Caenorhabditis elegans: one gene and its partners. The protein of the gene in region 4 purifies or fractionates together with the protein of the main gene of each other region. This does not show direct contact. Each region holds a gene or a part of one and is shown on either strand. Other genes may lie near its edges. The genes, in order: F10E7.5, Y46E12BL.2, tsp-4 and lpd-6.

Region 1 (3,418 bases), on a different chromosome or scaffold from region 4:
ACCAAGTTAGACATTTTAGAATTTGATACGATTTTTCGTAAGACTATTTTGGTTGCATATGATCTATCTTTTTTGAGCCTGAACTATGAAAATACATTATTATTATTATTATTATTGAGAATTGAATTTCAAGAAATTTTACAGAATCATTTTCAATTTAACATATAACGCTCACCGTTGATGAACATCCATTAAACCACTATACATATTTAAATTACTAAATACTGTGTTCTTTTTCTAAACGGAATAGTTTTGTGGTTTTCGTTTATATCTTTCAAATCAATCTTGTGTAGAATCCTACTAGGAACTGGTCATTCATTGATTTTCTAAAAACCTAATTACTTGTTTCCGGAAAACTTCAAGTTTTCATGGTTTCGGGTCCTGGCACGAGTGCAACTTTTTAGCTACCGTACCCGCAAGTAGGATAGTCCTTCAATCTTTCACATTGCATTATCCTTTTTCATATTTGAATTAGTTCCAATAGTGAATCTTTAACGATATTTGCAACAAAAATATTTTAAAACTAGAGGTATCCGAGGTAGAACAGCGGAGTACGCGCGGGTACTGTAGCTGGAAAGTTCCACGTGCCAAGACACGAAACCGTAGTTTTGTTCAACTGCAACTATTTGCAAACAGCTCTGCTAAATAACGAAAATTTAGAATTCAAGATTTTGTTTCAAAAATTTCAAATATTCAATGAAGCGTGCTCCATCTTTTATTCGAGTCATGATGATTGAGATATGGAATTGGGAATTTCCGGAAACTGAAGAAACTGAATAAATTACATTTTGAGATTTTATGTATTAAAGATGATACGCTTTAATTCAAATGGAGCACTATGTCTAGTCGAATTTATCTAACAATTGAGTTTTGGCAATCGAATGAATTTATGGTAACCTGTTGTTTTTCATCGTTCAAACGCAAATTTAAGAGTCTGGAAAATAGAGAGAATGCATGGATGAACCAAAAAAAAAAAGAAAGAAAAATGCAGTGCTCACAACAAAACGAGAAAATGACTCTGCGTCTCTACATCCTCCTCAATCTTTTATTCGACATTTCCTCTGAAATTCGGTTTCAATTTCGAAATGAAAAAGAAGAGAAAAAAAGAGAAGTGGAATTTAAAAGCGACATGGAGAGGAGACGGCATTATTGATTTGGAGAGCTCATGGCTCTTGCTCGAAGAGCATGTATGCGCGACGACGTGAATTGAGAGAAGTGAGGGAAACGAGAAAAGGAGATGAAGTAAGAGAAGAAGAAGCTTCTCATCTGACGATACTTGATTGGGCTAATTGGGATGCAGATGAATCTTATGGGAATATTCAGATATAGAAGGGACCTACCATCTTCCAATTTTTTTTCTGAAACTTGAAACTGATCTAGATTTTCAGTCTAAACTGTCTGAAACTTCAACGTGGATATTCCATCTCAAAGAACTGATACAGAAAGCATGTATTATTTCACATAGGGAACTCGGAAAGTTTTGTTTCGTGTTGTTTCGTGTTGGATCTATAATTCTACATATCCCCTTCTGATATTTTTTCGTTTGAAACCATAAAAAGATGAAACTTATTTTAAGGTTACCGCTACTACATTCTCATTAAACCTATTTTAAAGAAATCATAGCATCTGACAATGTCAACCAATTTTTGTATCTTCTCCGCTATTGAGACTTCTTTAAATGAACTTGAATATTAGTTTTGGTTACGGTGTGCAAAGGTACGCAAACACCACTACGCGCAGTTGCACACAATCATTTTCTCTGTTTTTTTTTCTTGTTTCTTCATTTCTTCAACTTTTCCTATGTTGTTACTGCTACTTTTCAGCTTTTTATAGTTTAAATTGCAATTAAATTGTAATTTTCAGCAGTACTCTACACAATGGCTCGTTCCCGCAGAGATAAAAATGGTAATTTTGTTGTAAAATTAAATTATAGGCAAACTTTTTATATTTCAGTGTCACTCACAAAAGTCAAGAAGAAGACTAAGGACACAAAGAACAATTTGGTTAATGAGGTAAAATTTAAGAGTGAAGTGCTGACTAAATAATTATTTTTTTCCAGGTCCGTGCAAGTGTCGATCAGTACAAAAACCTTTTCATTTTCACGATTGCTAACATGAGAAGCACACGATTCATTGCCGTTAGTTAAAATCAGATTGAATTAAAATTTGATTACTTTTGAATTACAGATCAGACAAAAGTACAAGGAGAATTCAAGATTTTTCTTCGGAAAGAACAATGTCATTTCTATCGCTCTTGGAAAACAGAAGTCTGATGAGTACGCAAATCAGCTTCACAAAGCCAGTGCAATTCTGAAGGGTCAATGCGGTCTCATGTTCACCAACATGTCCAAAAAGGAAGTTGAGGCGTAAGTTTTGAGTAACCATTGCTTCTCTAATAGCATTTTATCTTCAGTGAATTCTCCGAAGCTTCAGAAGAAGATTACGCTCGTGTAGGAGATGTTGCCACAGAGACAGTTGTTCTACCAGAAGGACCAATTTCACAATTTGCCTTCTCTATGGAGCCACAACTGCGAAAACTTGGTCTCCCAACGAAACTTGACAAAGGAGTTATCACCCTCTACCAACAGTTTGAGGTGTGCAAAGAAGGCGAACCGCTGACTGTGGAGCAGGCTAAAATCTTGAAGCACTTCGAAGTGAAGATGTCTCAATTCCGTCTTATCTTCAAAGCTCACTGGAACAAGAAAGACGGCTTCAAAGAGCTTGATGCTTAACTTCTGCTAATCATCCTTTTATTGTTAATTTGTTGATTTGATTCTGATTCTCCTTGATTTGAAAACACCCACTCCATCCGAAAATTGTCGTTTATCATCTTGTTTTTTTGTTTATCCAATAAATTGTTACTTGTTTCAGAGTATTAATATTGATAAATATAGAAGGAGGTTAAATCCCAAACTTATTAAATATCCAATGATGATTATAAACCAACGAGAAAGCTGATTGTTCAGGAACATGTGGAGGGTTTTGTTATCTCGTTCCTCAATATTAGCTCAAGCCAGAGGATTGGCAACCAAGAGAAACGCACCTGAACCGAAGTTTACACAAAGTGCCGCATTTCAAGTAATTACCTCGAAGCATAAATAATTATTTTAGTAGATGTCTTTCAGGGTCGTGGATCTCGAGGAATGCCACAATTCAAGCCAGATTACTACTCATCAGACGCGTATGCCAACAAAAAAGTGCTATCAGCTATCGGAAGTCTTATAGCAATTGTAATCTATTTCGGTTGGCTCAGAGAACCATCAGATTTGGACGAAATATGGAGCGCTCCACCACACATTTTGACCTCCAATTTGGAGAGAAAAATGCTTCGAGAACAAATTAAGCAAGCTCAAGAGAAGGGAATGGATACAGCGCTTCTACGAGCACAATTGGAGTATGTGGATGTTAAGGAAGAAGCC
Region 2 (4,905 bases), on a different chromosome or scaffold from region 4:
AGTGAAAATTGATTTGAAAAGTTGAATTTTAACTGTAAATTCGAAATTTTCGAGTTAGAAACACATTTTCCGTCGATTTTTTGGATTCTAAAGTGAAAACTCAATTTTTTCGATTTTTTTTCATTTTTCGCGGGATTTTTTACTTTTTGGCTGCAAAATAACTTTTTAGCAGTTATTTTTTGGTAATTTGAGACCGATTTCTTCTCTCAAGCCAAATTACGAACCCAAAAAGCTTTCAATATGATTCAAAATCAGTTGTCCAACTGCTCCGCTCGCCGGATGCAACCCGTTATCCGTCGCAGTAACCGGATCGGTAAGAACCGCCCGGATCACACGACGAGCCATCGTACGGACCCACGGCTTGTCGTGAGCCGCCAGAGCAGCCACAGAGACGAGCATATTCCGCGTATTGGCGCTGGACCAGACGGACGCTTGCTGGGCACGGAGGATGATTCCGAGCACTGAAATGAGGTTTTTCAACGCGGATCCTTCGGTGCTATCGACGTTTTCTAGGAGTTTTGTGTAGAGAATCTGCAAATTATTGATTTTTTTAAATTATAGGTGGATTAAAAACATGCCTATGGGATCACAATGACCGAATATCATGATTTAAAAAATCCAAAAAATTTTTCTAAATTTTATATGATTTTTTTTTGAAAATTGCAAATACCCCATTTCTCCCCTAATTCCTATTTAAATTCCCGCGAATTGGATTCGTGCGGTAGAGCGCTGGCACGTTTTCTAAATTTATTTATTTTATTTTTTGTTATTTATTTTCGTCCGATTTTTCATGTTTTCAGTGTATTTTTGCTTGAAATTTGAAGGAAAATTTGAGATAAATGCAAATAATTGATGAAAAAGCAACGAGACACAGTCTGAAAAAAGAAGAACTAACGATTTTAAACGACATCGAATCAGAATTGGCTGATTTCCTAGATTTACGATTTACGCATTTACGCAAATCTATTACGCAAATCGCAAATCTAGGAAATCAGCCAATTCTGGTTCGATGTCGTTTAAAATCGTTAGTTCTTCTTTTTTCAGACTGTGTCTCGTTGCTTTTTCATCAATTATTTGCATTTATCTCAAATTTTCCTTCAAATTTCAAGCAAAAATACACTGAAAACATGAAAAATCGGACGAAAATAAATAGCAAAAAATAAAATAAACAAAATTAAAAAACGTGCAAGCGCGCTCTATCGAACAAATCCAATTGGCGGAAATTTAAATAGAAATTAGGGGAAAATTGTGATTTTTCCAATTTTCAAAAAATCATATAAAATCTGGAAAATTTTTTTGAACATTTTTATCATGATATTTGGTCATTGTGACCCCATAGGCATGTTTTAAAGCAATTTCCCCACTGCCGCTGCTTCACAAAAAGCCCATACCTGCACAAATCTGTGAAACTGAGCTTGAAGCACCTCTTTCGGCACCTTTCTCACAATCAGATGAAGCAGATAAGCGATTGCTGCCGTTCTTCTGGGATTTCCCAGCGAGGATCCTTCCAGCGCGGTCATCAGAGCCGCACAGTACTCAACGTCGGATTCTTTGCCTGAAAATCCCTAATTTTTAGGCCTAAAATTATGGGGGAATTAAACTACCATCCCGCTCTTTGATGACTTCAGCGATTGCTGCCAAAACCGAGACAACCTCTGCTTGAATAGAGGACCCAGATCTGAAGAAATAAATCTATCAGTCTACGGCTCGTGCTTTGGAAAAGAGATTCAAGAGTTTAAAATCAAATTTGAAAATAAAAAATTCCCGGTCTCCTGGAGTGTTATAAATAATTATTAGAGCGCGCTCGTGCGGCACCTCACGAACTCCAGAAGTCGCGGGAATTCGTTCCGCGGGGACAGCAGTTTTTTTGCTATTTTTGGCTCCTATAGGAAATATTTTTGATTTTTTGTTTTATAATATTCTTGAGAAGCATCATCCGAATTGAAAATGTGTAAAATTATGAAATTTAGCCGAAAACTGAAAGTTTTACAGAAGGAAGCCACTACAGTTTTAAAAAAATGTATCAGGATCGCCAGTTTTGCGTTTTATGTGTCGTAAAATATGTCATTTTGTAGAGAATTAAAAGTTTCATACGAATTTTCGTTTGAAAATTTAAAATTGCTTTTATTAAAAGCTTAAAAATTTAAGAAACAAGATTTTAACGTAAAATTGTTGATTTTTTGAATATTTTTATATTAGAAATTAAAGAATTAAAATTTCAAACGAAAATTCTCATGAAACTTTTAATTCTCTACAAAATGACATATTTTACGACGCATAACTCGCAAAACTGGCAATCCTGAAACATTTTTTTAAAAACTATAATGACTTCCTTCTGTAAAACTTTCAGTTTTCGGGCAAATTTCATAATTTTACACATTTTCAATTCGGATGATGCTTCTCAACAATATTATAAAACAAAAAATCAAAAATATTTCTTATAGAAGCCAAAAATAGCAAAAAACTGCTGTCCCCGCTGAACGAATTCCCGCGAATTCTGGAGTTCGTGAGGTGCCGAGCCAGCGCGCTCTAATAATTATGAACACTCCAGGAGGTCGTGAAATTTGTTGAATTTTTGGAAAAAACGCTAAAATTCTCACTTCCAGACCCGATTGACAGAATCAAACGCAGGATTTGTGCAAGCCGTGAATCCGGAGAGCTTAGACAAGCCTCCCTCGGAAACCATGCTTTTCGACGAAGAGCCGATATCCATCGAATGAATCGGAAGAGCCGAGAGCAGCATATCGTCGGCGGCGGCGGTGTTCATGAGACGATCCTCGACGGCAAGCATGCCGGCTCCGCCGAAAGAAGCATTTCTAGCGGCATTGGCAGCGGCGCGATGCTTGCTTCTCGTTGGGTTGCTTTCACATCTGAAAAAACAAAAAAACAATTAAATTTAATTATATTCAACGAATTTATCGACGTTTTCACTCACGCTGATCCTGAATTAAATTTCGCTGCTCCCTTCTTACTTGTACGATGACGGAAATTGCCACCTCCCATTGTTTTTATCTGAAAAAATGACAAATTTGATGGAAAATTCCTAAAACAAGGCGATAAACTGTTGGAAAACGATGAAAACTGATAATTTGAGTGCGCAAAAATTTATTTTATTGATTTTAAGTAAAAAATAACTGAAAAAAACCTTTAAAATGCAAGATTCTCAGCAAGAAATCGGCGAAGAATAGCGAAAAAAAATAAATTGTTCGGTTTTCGTGGCGAGACCCGAGGTGTCCAGAGGCCGCGTCCCCCCGCGTTTTCTAGGCCGTCACGCATTGAAATTGGCGGAAACTCAAATCGTGAAGCGATATTGAACGACAAAAGCTTTTGGAAAAGAGTCAAAATATTTTAAAACATTGTAAAACAAAATTCCAATTTTCATTCAGGTATAAAAGCAATATATTCAATATATAAATCTGAGTAATTCACAATTTGACAGCGAAATTTGCAAAAAAAAAAGTGGTGAAAAACCGTGGGGATTTGTGGGTTAGTGGAAAAGAGGAGAAAAATGTGAATTTTTGGCGAGAAAATGATCAATATCACTCAATCTCATACAACAAATATTCCTTCATAACCGGCGGGATCATCAGCGGCTTGATGCGTTTGTCGGGGTCTGGTCCCATTATGCTTCGGAAACGACGTCGACACAGTTCGAACAACGGTAGCATCTCGACTGCTGAAAAAAAAAAACAAGAATTTCGATTTGGTTCTGGCTTTTCTCGAATTTTTACAACTAAAATTTAGCTAAAACCGAGCCGAGCCGCGACGCGACGCGACACGCAAAGCGCCGTAAATCTACACCGGCCGTGGCCGATTCACAGCGCGTTGCGTGTCGCGTCGCGGCTCGGTTTTATTTGTAAAACATGATTTTAGAAACCGCGATTTCTCAGAAAAGAAACTCCGAGAAGGAGATCTACAAAAAGACAGCCATCACACCCTTTTTTCTGCGCCGCACGTTTACAAAACTCACGTTCCAGTGATCCCAGATGTGTCATGGTAATCTCACAGTCTCCATAAAGAGTCGCCACAGCTGGGTATAATCGTTTTCCCCGGAGATTTTGGAATACAACTCCGAGGTACTCGTTGTCTGTGGCGAATGACAGATTTCCTTGCTCCATGTCCAGAATGCAATAGATCTGAAAATTGATTGTTTTTGGGTTTTTGATCAAAAATTTCAAAAAAAAAAATGTTTTTTTTGTTTTTTATAGCAAAAATGGTTTTTTTGGTATTTTTTGGCAAAAAATTGGTTTTTTTTGTTACAAAATTGAGATTTTTTGGGTTTTTTTAAAGCAAAAAGAGATTTTTTGCCAAAAATAGGTATTTTATTGGCAAAAGATAATTTTTGCCACTTTTTTTTTGGCAAAATTGAGATTTCGGTTTTTTTGACAAAACTTGATTTTTTTGGGTTTTTCAAAACGAAAATTGATTTTTTATCTGGCGAAAATGGTTTTTTTTTTGGGTTTTATGGCCAGAAATTGATTTTTTCGGTTTTTTTTTTTGGGAAAATTGTTCACCTTTTCAGGAACATTGAAACCATCTCGACCATTCCCGTACGGATACTTCCACTTCCACGAACCGTAGTGACATTCTCGTGTAGCTGAAAAAATTGAAGAGTTTGGGTTTTCAATCGCTTTTTCTAAATTTTCTTTTTGTATTTAACATTTAAAACTGGCCAATTTGCATAATATTTGCCTATGGGGTCACAATGACCGAATACCATGATTAAAAATTCAAAATAATTTTCTAGATTTTATATGATTTTTTGAAAATTGAAAAAATCTCACTTTTCCCCTAATTCCTTTTTGAATTTCCGCCAATTGATTCGTTCGATGGAGCGCGCTTGCATTTAAAAAATTTTTTTTTCATCAATTTTTCGCATTTTTGACTGATTTTTCATGTTTTTTC
Region 3 (3,630 bases), on a different chromosome or scaffold from region 4:
AGTATTATCTTATAGTCAGTATTTTAAAGCAATTTACCCATCGCAGCGACAAGATTAACTTCAAAAACACATAAAGTTCATGAAATGGTTCTTATTTTCAGAGCGTATTTTACATGATATCTGATTATATCACTATCCGTCTCCCATTCACCGGAATCATGACATCTTGGTGTGCATCTCAACAACCAAATCATTTCCTAAAAGTCTTATTTTTCTTTTCTATATATTTCACTTATGTTTCATGGCTATTTCCATTCCTTTTATCAACGTTACGATTGATTCCCGTTTATTTCCCGCGCAGACATAATCAAGTAACTCATGTTTTAATATTCAATTGCTAAATTTTTTTTAGCTATGCGCCCGGCTATCTAATTTTGCAATTCCATTCATCTACCTCTACCCATTCATATTTACATTCTCCCTGATACCGGCTCTAGGATCATGTCGACAACTTTTGGGCCCTTATAAATTTGGTTCTATTTTTATTTGGTTTACGGGGAACTGGTTTGATGTTAGCAAATTTAAAATTTATTTATCGAAAAATTCAAATTTTTCAGATAAAGTTGATAAATGGCTTAGTGCTCAATTTGGCCATTTGGCTTCTCCTATGCATTATTTCAAATTTAACACTTTTAATAAAACTGAAGAAGTTAAAAAATAATCGAAAAAGTGCAATTCTCCAACGAGCGGAATTATCTCTATCGCTGACAACATTATCCATGCTTTTATCGTTTCTGACAAACCTGGCATGTGCAGTAAGTCTATAAAAATGTTTAATTTTCTTTGAAAACATTCTTTTTTCAGTTAATATTCTTAATATTTCCATCACTGACAGCATATTTCATTGCTCTTCGGCCATTTGGAAATGATTGTGAGATTTGTGTTGGTCCGTGGATCTTCTATATGACACATCCTGCATTTAAAAAACAGAAAATTTTATTTTGGAAAGATGCATCGAAAATTGGAACTATTCATACAACTTAATAAATATATTCACATTTTGTAAAAATTTAAAAATGAAAGTTATGGACTGAGAAGTTTTTATCATGACATTATCATGAGGAACTATGTTGTATAAGTATCCAAATATTGAAATAATGTTTTTTTTTATAATCATCAATTTGAACCCACACCTTTATCAAACGATTTCATGCTAGAAGGGGTCTGTGATTAATATTATTACATTAGAAGTAGCATGTGTTTTCTAGCAAGATATGAAGTTAGATGTCAGAGCAAAATGTCTAGTCTGCTCAAACTAGGTTTCGTAATAAAATCACGTACCCAATGTGTGCGCAGTTGAGTTTTTGAACTTTCCATTTTTTGCTTCACATCATCTATTAGCTTGGTTTCCATTAACAACGACGCCAAACATTTCATAATCAGTCTGAAATGTATTTAAGTTGCTTTATAAGCCATTTTGAGGACTAGTTAAACCTCTCAACAAAACATTTCTTTAGCTGTTAGGCAAAACGTTTTTCCTGCAAATTTAATGTTCTCTGTCTCATATCAGAAAAACTCCTTTTGTTATTTTTAATTGAAAAAAATACAAACAACAATTTAGGTTACTAGTCATTATATTTTGCAACTACGTATATATATACACCTACGGGTAGCTGGTAAAACATTACATTCATATTTGGCTTACAGTAATCCTAACATCTTCTAAGATAAACCCTACCTGTCCTTGGCGTAACGAAAAATCGTGCTCAAGTAGGCAAAGTTCCGTGTAGGCAGGCGTTTTAGTGACGGCGCTATTGATGTCGGTTGCGCATTTACAGCAACTTTTTATCACACCCATTTTTCCCGACTTTGGCATCCTATATCCCGGATGCCTAAATATGAACAGACAAAATACGTGCCAAAACTTTCTGTATATCTTAAAAGTTGAATACGTTTTTTTTTCAAATAAAACCAAGAGCAACCGAGATATAATCTGTCTAAGTAAAGCAATTGTAATATAAGACAAATCAGCTTTCAGCACAGAAGAAAACATGGCCTACAATGTTTGTGGGAAATTAGCCAATTTCCTTTTCTTCATCCTCAACTTGGGACTAATCGTGAGTCAATTTTGGCTTTATGTAAAAAATGTAGCTAAACTATAGGTTGTTGGAGTAATGATAACTTGGTACTCTATATGGATGATACTTCACCAATTCGAAGTAACAGTTGCCAGAACAAGTCTTGTTAGTTTTTTGAGTGTGGACAATATTGAATGGGTAATAATTTCCAATTGCTTCTCCAAAATTGAGAATGTATTTTCAGTTTTATGTATACCGGACAATTTCTATAATGATTGGGGGATGTATGGTAGTTCTCGGTTTATGCGGCTGCTTCGCAGTGTGCTTTGGAAGCAAAACTGCGTTGTCCGTACATCTCGTATTGGTTTTTTTAGTTTTCGTCGTAAAAATTGTGGCAATTGTGATGTTTTTAGCGAATAAAGATCATGTGAGTTTAATTAAACTCGTGTGAAGATTTCACTAAACTTAAACATAATTTTTTGCAATAAACTACCAAAAAGTACAACAAAAAGTTTTAATTGAATAAAAGAAAAATGTCGATTTTAGCTTAATCTCTTTTCCATCTTATAAAATACGTTTTTCAGCTTCGAAGAGAGTTTGTCGGTGTTTATCGTGACGAATTGGTTGCAAACTATCATAACAATTCACGAACTAAAAACACTCTTGATTGGGTTCACACTAGTGTAAGTTTCCCCAAAATATGTTATATCTTAAACTCATTTGTAATGCCCAATTCAAACTTGTTTTTGATATTTCTAGCATGTTTTCAGTTGAAATGCTGTGGAGCAAACGGTTGTGAAGACTTTTTACCAGCCGGCAATTTTCCAACATCTTGTGAATGTGGTACAAAGAATGCAATGGTACGTATGGAAGGATGTGCTCTCATCACTTGGGCAGTATTTGAAGATGGAACACTCCAAGTTGCTTTCCTTGGATTGATCTGCATGTTGATTGAGCTTGGATTGATGATTTTTGCCGCAATAGTCATTGATAGAATCAGAAGAGAACCTTGTGCAATTCAGAAAGTTGGATGAATTTAAATTCCAGTTTTTTGTTACTTTCATGTTAATAAACTTTCAAAACATCTTCAGTATTGCCTCTCAAATATTTCCTGATATAAGATAAATTCAAAAAGCTGGGCTATCTATTCTACAACAACGTCACCAGAAAGGCACAAATGCAGGCGGGTAGTACCTATTTCAAAATCATGACGACGCTGCCTTTTTCTTGAAAACTAAAATTTACAAAATAAATATTTAAACATTTTCTGTTTGATTATAAATATTAGCTGAAAAAATATAATATTGAAAGCAATTTCTAAAGGAAATGCTTACCCCTCCGACAAAATGAAAAATAAATGAAAACAGCATTGATAAAGTCGTTAGAGAAAGCGATAGCTCAGCTTTTTGAACGGGAGCACTATTTCGTTGGTTTTTCATTTTTTTCCAGTTTTATAAAGAGCAACAAAGTTGAAGTAGTGCAAAGGATGAACCAAAATAATAAATTTCCAATAAGACCTTATATTAATTTTATCTGAAATTTTGGAAACATTGATTTTAAGTTGAAAGCTCTATCAAACATCAAACAAATTTCCACTAAACCAAAAATAAAT
Region 4 (5,778 bases):
CGAATTTAATTTTTTTTTAACTTCGACCAGCAATTTTCATTTTCAGTCGTTTTGCGTATTTTTAATGGATTCTTCAATAAATAATTTATTTTTGAGAAATTTTGAAATTCAATTTTTCTCAGAAATGTGAGTCTTTATTAAATTTTTTAAATTTTTTTTTGAAAAAACTCTGAAAAACTGAAATTTTCGTGTTTTTTTTTGGGGTTTTTAATGTTTTTTTTTTTTTGGAAACACAGAGAAAAAACTCCGAAAAACTGAATTTTCGTGTTTTTCCGGATTTTTTTTCGATTTCTGTTTGAAAAAAACAACAGAAAAATTGAAAAATTCAGTTTTTTTTCCGGAAAATACCGAAAAAAATCTGAAATTTCTGGAGTTTCTGGGTCTTTTATTCTATTTTTTTAACAGCAAAACCTCGGAAAAACTGAAATTCTCGGTTTTTACGATTTTTGTTGGGAAAAAACAACGGAAAATTGAAAAATTCAGTTTTTTTTCCGGAAAATACTGAAAAAATCTAAAAATAAAAATACGAAAAACATCTGAAAATGAAAAATTGCTGGTCGAAATTCAAAAAAAAAGATTAATTTCGAATAATGATGCAAGCGCGGCTCGTAAATCGACACGGATACAGTAATTTCGTCTCTTCCCGGCGGGATATCTTGCGCGTAAGATATGGCGATTATTCTACCTTCTCCAGCTTCACATCACCGATTGAATCTTCATCGAGAAGCTCCACAATTAATCCGAGCATTTCTCCACGATATTTATGAGATAAATATCGATATCTTCCGCTTGAAAACTTTACAACCGGCAAATCATTGAGTGCAATTTTCACTTCTTCAACACTCATTTGAACACTATTCAGCAGGTCTCGAAGCTTATAACCCTTTAGATTCTCCTCTTCCTCACGATCCTTCCAGTCCCAACGTAGCTCCTGCTCGCGGAGCATATCCTTAAGCCGTCCGATGCTCAAAACATCCACTTGGGGACACAGCTCGCCTGTTGAGAAGCATTTTCCACCGATCTGAATTTAATTAAATTTTTAAAAAATTTTGAATTTCGAATAAACTAAAATAAATAAAAATAAAAACAACTGACAGTTTTCACCTGAAAATTCGGAAGCGTCGGTGAATCTGGAGCTTCCAGGCATTTATGAAGAAGAAGAACCGTTGTGGCGGATTCGATAATTTTCATGGGAAATGTGGCGTTGTCTGTGCACAGAACCGCGTCGTCAGTTGAATCTCCGCGAATTGTGAGGCTTTGACCTTCACTAAAGGCTCCGATGACTGATTCATCCACTGAGAGAAGCATAAATTCTGAGGAAGGATCGGAGTAATCCGGCGAAAATTCCATTTTTGTCATGGTCTTCTGAAAATTTTCATTTTTTTCCCCAAAAAAAAACTAATGCTCCAAGAAAGCTTACATTCATCGCCTGATCAAATGGCCTATTTTTCGATAAAATATCAAATGTGAATTGAGCATCCTTCTCTCGTATTGCGTGCTGCAGCTTTTCCATTACAGAGGGCTCCTCGAGCGTTTTTTGAGGTTCAGGCGCAACGATATTTTCCTCATTTCCACTTGCCGGAGCTGGAGCAACACGTTTAGTAGGTTGAGTAGGCTTGGATCTTGTGACGAAGCGATTCATTATCTGGAAACAGATCTGTACAGAAACTGAGAAAATCGATTTAAAGTTTAATTTGAAATTGGCGGAAATCGCGGTAAAAAACTTGTCGTCAGCTATGGCGCATTGGACGCAAACACTTTGACGGCAAACTGCACACTTCGTATTTTTTTTTTTTCGCAATTTTTTTCGTTCCATTTTCTAACCTAAATACACTTAATTTAACAATAATCTTTATAAATTTCAGTTCGAAAAAATGAAAATGAAGAAAGGAAAGAAGCAGAGAAAGTCTGGAGCTCATAATCGCGGAAATGTAGATGCTCTAAGTCAAAAAGATGCCCTTTATCATCAGGAAAAATTCGTGAAGAAGCTACAGAAGCAAAAGTTTTTGGAAAATAAAGAAATTGAACTAGCAAGACAGCCTCATTGCTTGGTTATTCATCGCGGAGACGTCGGAAAGTACGTGAAGGGCCTGGAGTCGGATTTGAGAAATCTCGTCGAGCCGAATACAGCGAAAAACTTGAAAATTCTCAAAAGAAACAATATCAAGGATTTTATCGTGAACGGTGCGGTACTTGGAGTCACCAATATGATGGTTCTCACTTCCAGTGATGCTTCCTTGCAGCTGAGAATGATGCGTTTCTCCCAAGGACCGACGTTATCGTTTAAAGGTTGCCAATTATCGATTTTAAATAAAATTCAGTAATTTAATTATTTTAATTTCCAGTTAAACAATACTCCCTGGCTCGCCACGTTGTTAATTGTCAAAAGCGACCAGTTGCCACTGATAAACTGTTCAAATCCTCGCCGCTCGTTGTGATGAACGGATTTGGCGACGGAACGCAGAAGCATCTCTCATTGGTTCAGACTTTTATTCAGAATATGTTCCCTTCCATTAATGTCGATACGGTAAAATTTTTAAAGATGGACTACGATCAGGGGGAAAATTGCTTTAAAACACGCCTATGTGGTCACAATGACCGAATATCATTATAAAAAATTCAAAAAAATGTTCTAGAGTTTATATGATTTTTTGAAAATTGGAAAAATCACAGTTTTCACCTAATTATTTTTGAATTTCCGCCAATTGAATTTGTTCGGTGGAGCGCGCTTGCATTATTTTTTTTTAATTAGTTTTATTTATTCTCGTTATTTGACTGATTTTCTTCATTTTCTATGTTTTTTCCTCGGAAAATGGAAGAAATAAACAAGAAAAATGCAAAATGTTTGTTTAAAAGTAACTGAAAAAGCATAAAACTGTAAAATTATGAGTTCCGACGACAACAAGCCTGAAATTAGTATATTTCAGTTTTACTCATTTTCAATTAGTTTTTAACAAACATTTTGCATTTGTCTTGTTTATTTCTTCCATTTTCCGAGAAAAAACATAGAAAATGAAGAAAATCAGTCAAATAACGAGAATAAATAAAATTAATTTTAAAAAATAATGCAAGCGCGCTCCACCGAACAAATTCAATTGGCGAAAATTCAAAAATAATTAGGTGAAAACTGTGATTTTTCCAATTTTCAAAAAATCTTATAAAATCTAGAAAAATTTTTTGAAATTTTTTATCATGATATTCGGTCATTGTGGCCCCATAGGCGTGTTTTAAAGCAATTTTCCCCCTGATCGTAGTCCACCTTTAAATCGATTTTTTTGTCAAGTTTCAGAAAAATTATACAAAAAATTTCAGATTCAACTTGGAAACCTGAAACGCTGCCTGATCGTCAGTTATGACGAAGAAACTGACGAAATTCAAATGAGGCATTTGTAAGTGCTATGAATTTCTCTAAAATATAATTATATAAATTTTTTTTTCAGCGCAATTCGAGTCGTCGCCTCAGGCCTCAACAAGTCTGTGAAAAAGCTTATGCAAGCGGAAAAGACGATGGGAAAGAATATTCCGAATTTGAGTACCTACAAAGACATCAGTGACTACTTTTTGAAGTGAGAATTGTTCAGAAATTCTACAAACTGAGCCTGAAATTCAGTGATTTATCTGAAAAAAACGTTCATATCAGTTTTAAAAATAGGAAAACCCCTCAAAACTGGTCAGAAAACTGGAAAATTTTCGGGAAAAAACTATACTCAGACGATTTTTGAGCATTTTTTTTTTCAATTTTTCCAACTGAAATAAACGTGATGCCTCTCAAAATTTATGGTTTTTCTGAAGAATTTGAATTTTTTCTCTCTGAAAATTCAATAATTCTTCAAAAATCATCCTTTTCCAGCCCCGGACAGTTCAGAATTCGAACGAAATTGAATTTTTCTAATGTTATTAATAAATTTCCATTAAAAAAATTCAAATTTTTCATAAAATGATTAATTTTGGGAGGCATCGCGCGTTTATTTCAGATCGAAAAATTGAAAAAAAACCTCTAAAATGGTCTGAAAATTGGAAATTTCCGGGAAAAAACAATTTTTAGACGATTTTCGAGGACTGTTTTCGAATTTTTCCAATTGAAATAAACGATATTTTCAGATAAATCACAAAATTATTATTAAAAAATATTCAATTTATTTAAATTTCCCTTCTTTTTCCAGCCCCGGACAGCTCAGCGATTCCGAATTCGAAGGAGATCAGCAAGAAGTCGAACTACCACAGGACATTTCAGAAGGACGTGGCTGCGGAGTTGGCCAGAAGAGCAACGTCCGTCTTCACGAGATCGGACCCCGACTGACTCTGGAACTCGTCAAAATTGAAGAAGGAATCGATGAGGGAGAGGTGCTCTATCACAAGCATAATGCGAAGACTCCAGATGAACTGATAAAACTGAGAGCTCATATGGACAAGAAGAAGCAGATGAAGAAGCGTCGTGAGCAGGAAAGTGAGCAACGTGTCATTCGAAGACTTACGATTGTCAAGGAGCAACAGGATGCTGAGGAGGCAGAGGTGAAGGCGATTCGAGAGAATGCTGCTCGTAAGCAAGCTGCCGCTACTGGACAAGTTGAAGAAGTTGAGAATCAGAAGGAGAAGGATAGAGAGATTGCGATGAATCGGGAAAGGTATAGATCCCCGTAATTGAAGACTTTTTAATTGATTTTTTATATTTTTGCAGAGATCTGAAGCGTGCCAACGAGGAATGGGGTACATCTGAAGCCTCGAAGCGTCCAAGATATGAGGATAGTCGTGGGGGATTCCGAGGTGGATTCAGAGGAAGAGGAGAAGATCGTGGAGGCTTCCGCGGACGTGGCGGAGATCGTGGAGGCTTCAGAGGTCGCGATCGTGATGGAGGTGGCTTTAGAGGAAGATCCGTGGATCGTGGTGGCTTCCGTGGAGGTGGTGGCGACCGAGGAGGCTTCAGAGGACGTTCATCAGATCGTGGTGGAGATCGTGGAGGCTTCCGTGGAAGATCGGGAGATCGTGATGGAGGATTTAGAGGTGGATTCGGAGGACGTGGTGGCGGTGGTTTCCGTGGAGGCGATCGAGGAGGATTCAGAGGACGCGGCGGAGGTGGTGGATTCCGTGGTGGGCGAGGTGGAGATCGAGGCGGCGGTTTCCGAGGAGGTCGTCGTTAATTCTGATATCAGTTGTTGTTTTTTGCAATTTGTTGTTTCTCCATTCTCCATTTTTATTTTTTTAAATGTTCGTTATTGTTATCGTTATAATCATGAATTTATCAGACTGTTTTCCTGTTTACCCGCTAATTTAGAATCAGGAATGTCGCTGAAAAAATGTGGGACTTAACAATTTTACCGAGAAAAATCATGTTTGCGCGTAATTTGTGATGCTTTCACAGATTGGGCTCACGGACGCAAACTTGTCACATCAAAGGAGCTAATTGCTTTAAAACTTTAAATTAGCTAGTTTCCTGCTTTATTTCATTGAAAAATCAATAAATTTCACAATTTCAGGCCTGTATGTATCACGGGAACACAAAATTCTGAGAATGCGTACTGCACAACATATCCGACGCTCAAAATATCTCGCAGCGAAAACTACAGTAATTTTTTAAATGGCTACAGTAGTGCTTGTGTCAATTTACGGGAATGAATTTCTTTTCGAATTTTCTCGTATCATTTGCTTAGTTTTAATATTCTATCGATAAATAAATCAATTTAATCCGTTTCGAAAATCGGGTCCGTAAATCGGCACAAGCGCTACTGTATCCATTTAAAGAATTACTGTAGTCTTCGCTACGAGATATTTTGTGCGTCG

What was found.
Region 1: the proteins of lpd-6 (region 4) and F10E7.5 fractionate together in Caenorhabditis elegans (co-fractionation; one large-scale study listed by BioGRID). This does not show direct contact.
Region 2: the proteins of lpd-6 (region 4) and Y46E12BL.2 fractionate together in Caenorhabditis elegans (co-fractionation; one large-scale study listed by BioGRID). This does not show direct contact.
Region 3: the proteins of lpd-6 (region 4) and tsp-4 fractionate together in Caenorhabditis elegans (co-fractionation; one large-scale study listed by BioGRID). This does not show direct contact.

Annotation. Positions count from the first base shown.
Region 1 is NC_003280.10:7,110,115-7,113,532, forward strand, and holds F10E7.5 (Ribosome assembly factor mrt4), read left to right. Parts: upstream 1-1,866; 5' UTR 1,867-1,877; coding exon 1,878-1,905; intron 1,906-1,953; coding exon 1,954-2,012; intron 2,013-2,059; coding exon 2,060-2,137; intron 2,138-2,186; coding exon 2,187-2,365; intron 2,366-2,412; coding exon 2,413-2,731; 3' UTR 2,732-2,868; downstream 2,869-3,418. Other genes in the region: F10E7.6 (uncharacterized protein), read left to right, coding at 2,970-3,077, 3,125-3,418.
Region 2 is NC_003280.10:15,231,260-15,236,164, reverse strand, and holds the start of Y46E12BL.2 (Ribosomal RNA-processing protein 12-like conserved domain-containing protein), read right to left. Parts: upstream 3,013-4,905; 5' UTR 3,004-3,012; coding exon 2,936-3,003; intron 2,871-2,935; coding exon 2,601-2,870; intron 1,679-2,600; coding exon 1,605-1,678; intron 1,556-1,604; coding exon 1,392-1,555; intron 532-1,391; coding exon 225-531; intron 1-224. Other genes in the region: spsb-2 (SPRY domain-containing SOCS box protein 1), read right to left, coding at 3,540-3,676, 3,971-4,136, 4,515-4,597.
Region 3 is NC_003282.8:12,518,593-12,522,222, reverse strand, and holds tsp-4 (Tetraspanin), read left to right. Parts: upstream 1-1,972; 5' UTR 1,973-1,991; coding exon 1,992-2,057; intron 2,058-2,102; coding exon 2,103-2,216; intron 2,217-2,262; coding exon 2,263-2,445; intron 2,446-2,602; coding exon 2,603-2,701; intron 2,702-2,788; coding exon 2,789-3,052; 3' UTR 3,053-3,104; downstream 3,105-3,630. Other genes in the region: sru-13 (Serpentine Receptor, class U), read left to right, coding at 102-311, 353-511, 558-755, 805-984.
Region 4 is NC_003279.8:3,143,881-3,149,658, reverse strand, and holds lpd-6 (Brix domain-containing protein), read left to right. Parts: upstream 1-1,865; 5' UTR 1,866-1,874; coding exon 1,875-2,289; intron 2,290-2,345; coding exon 2,346-2,527; intron 2,528-3,312; coding exon 3,313-3,389; intron 3,390-3,440; coding exon 3,441-3,566; intron 3,567-4,163; coding exon 4,164-4,625; intron 4,626-4,678; coding exon 4,679-5,138; 3' UTR 5,139-5,248; downstream 5,249-5,778. Other genes in the region: dscc-1 (Sister chromatid cohesion protein DCC1), read right to left, coding at 686-1,021, 1,096-1,365, 1,421-1,642.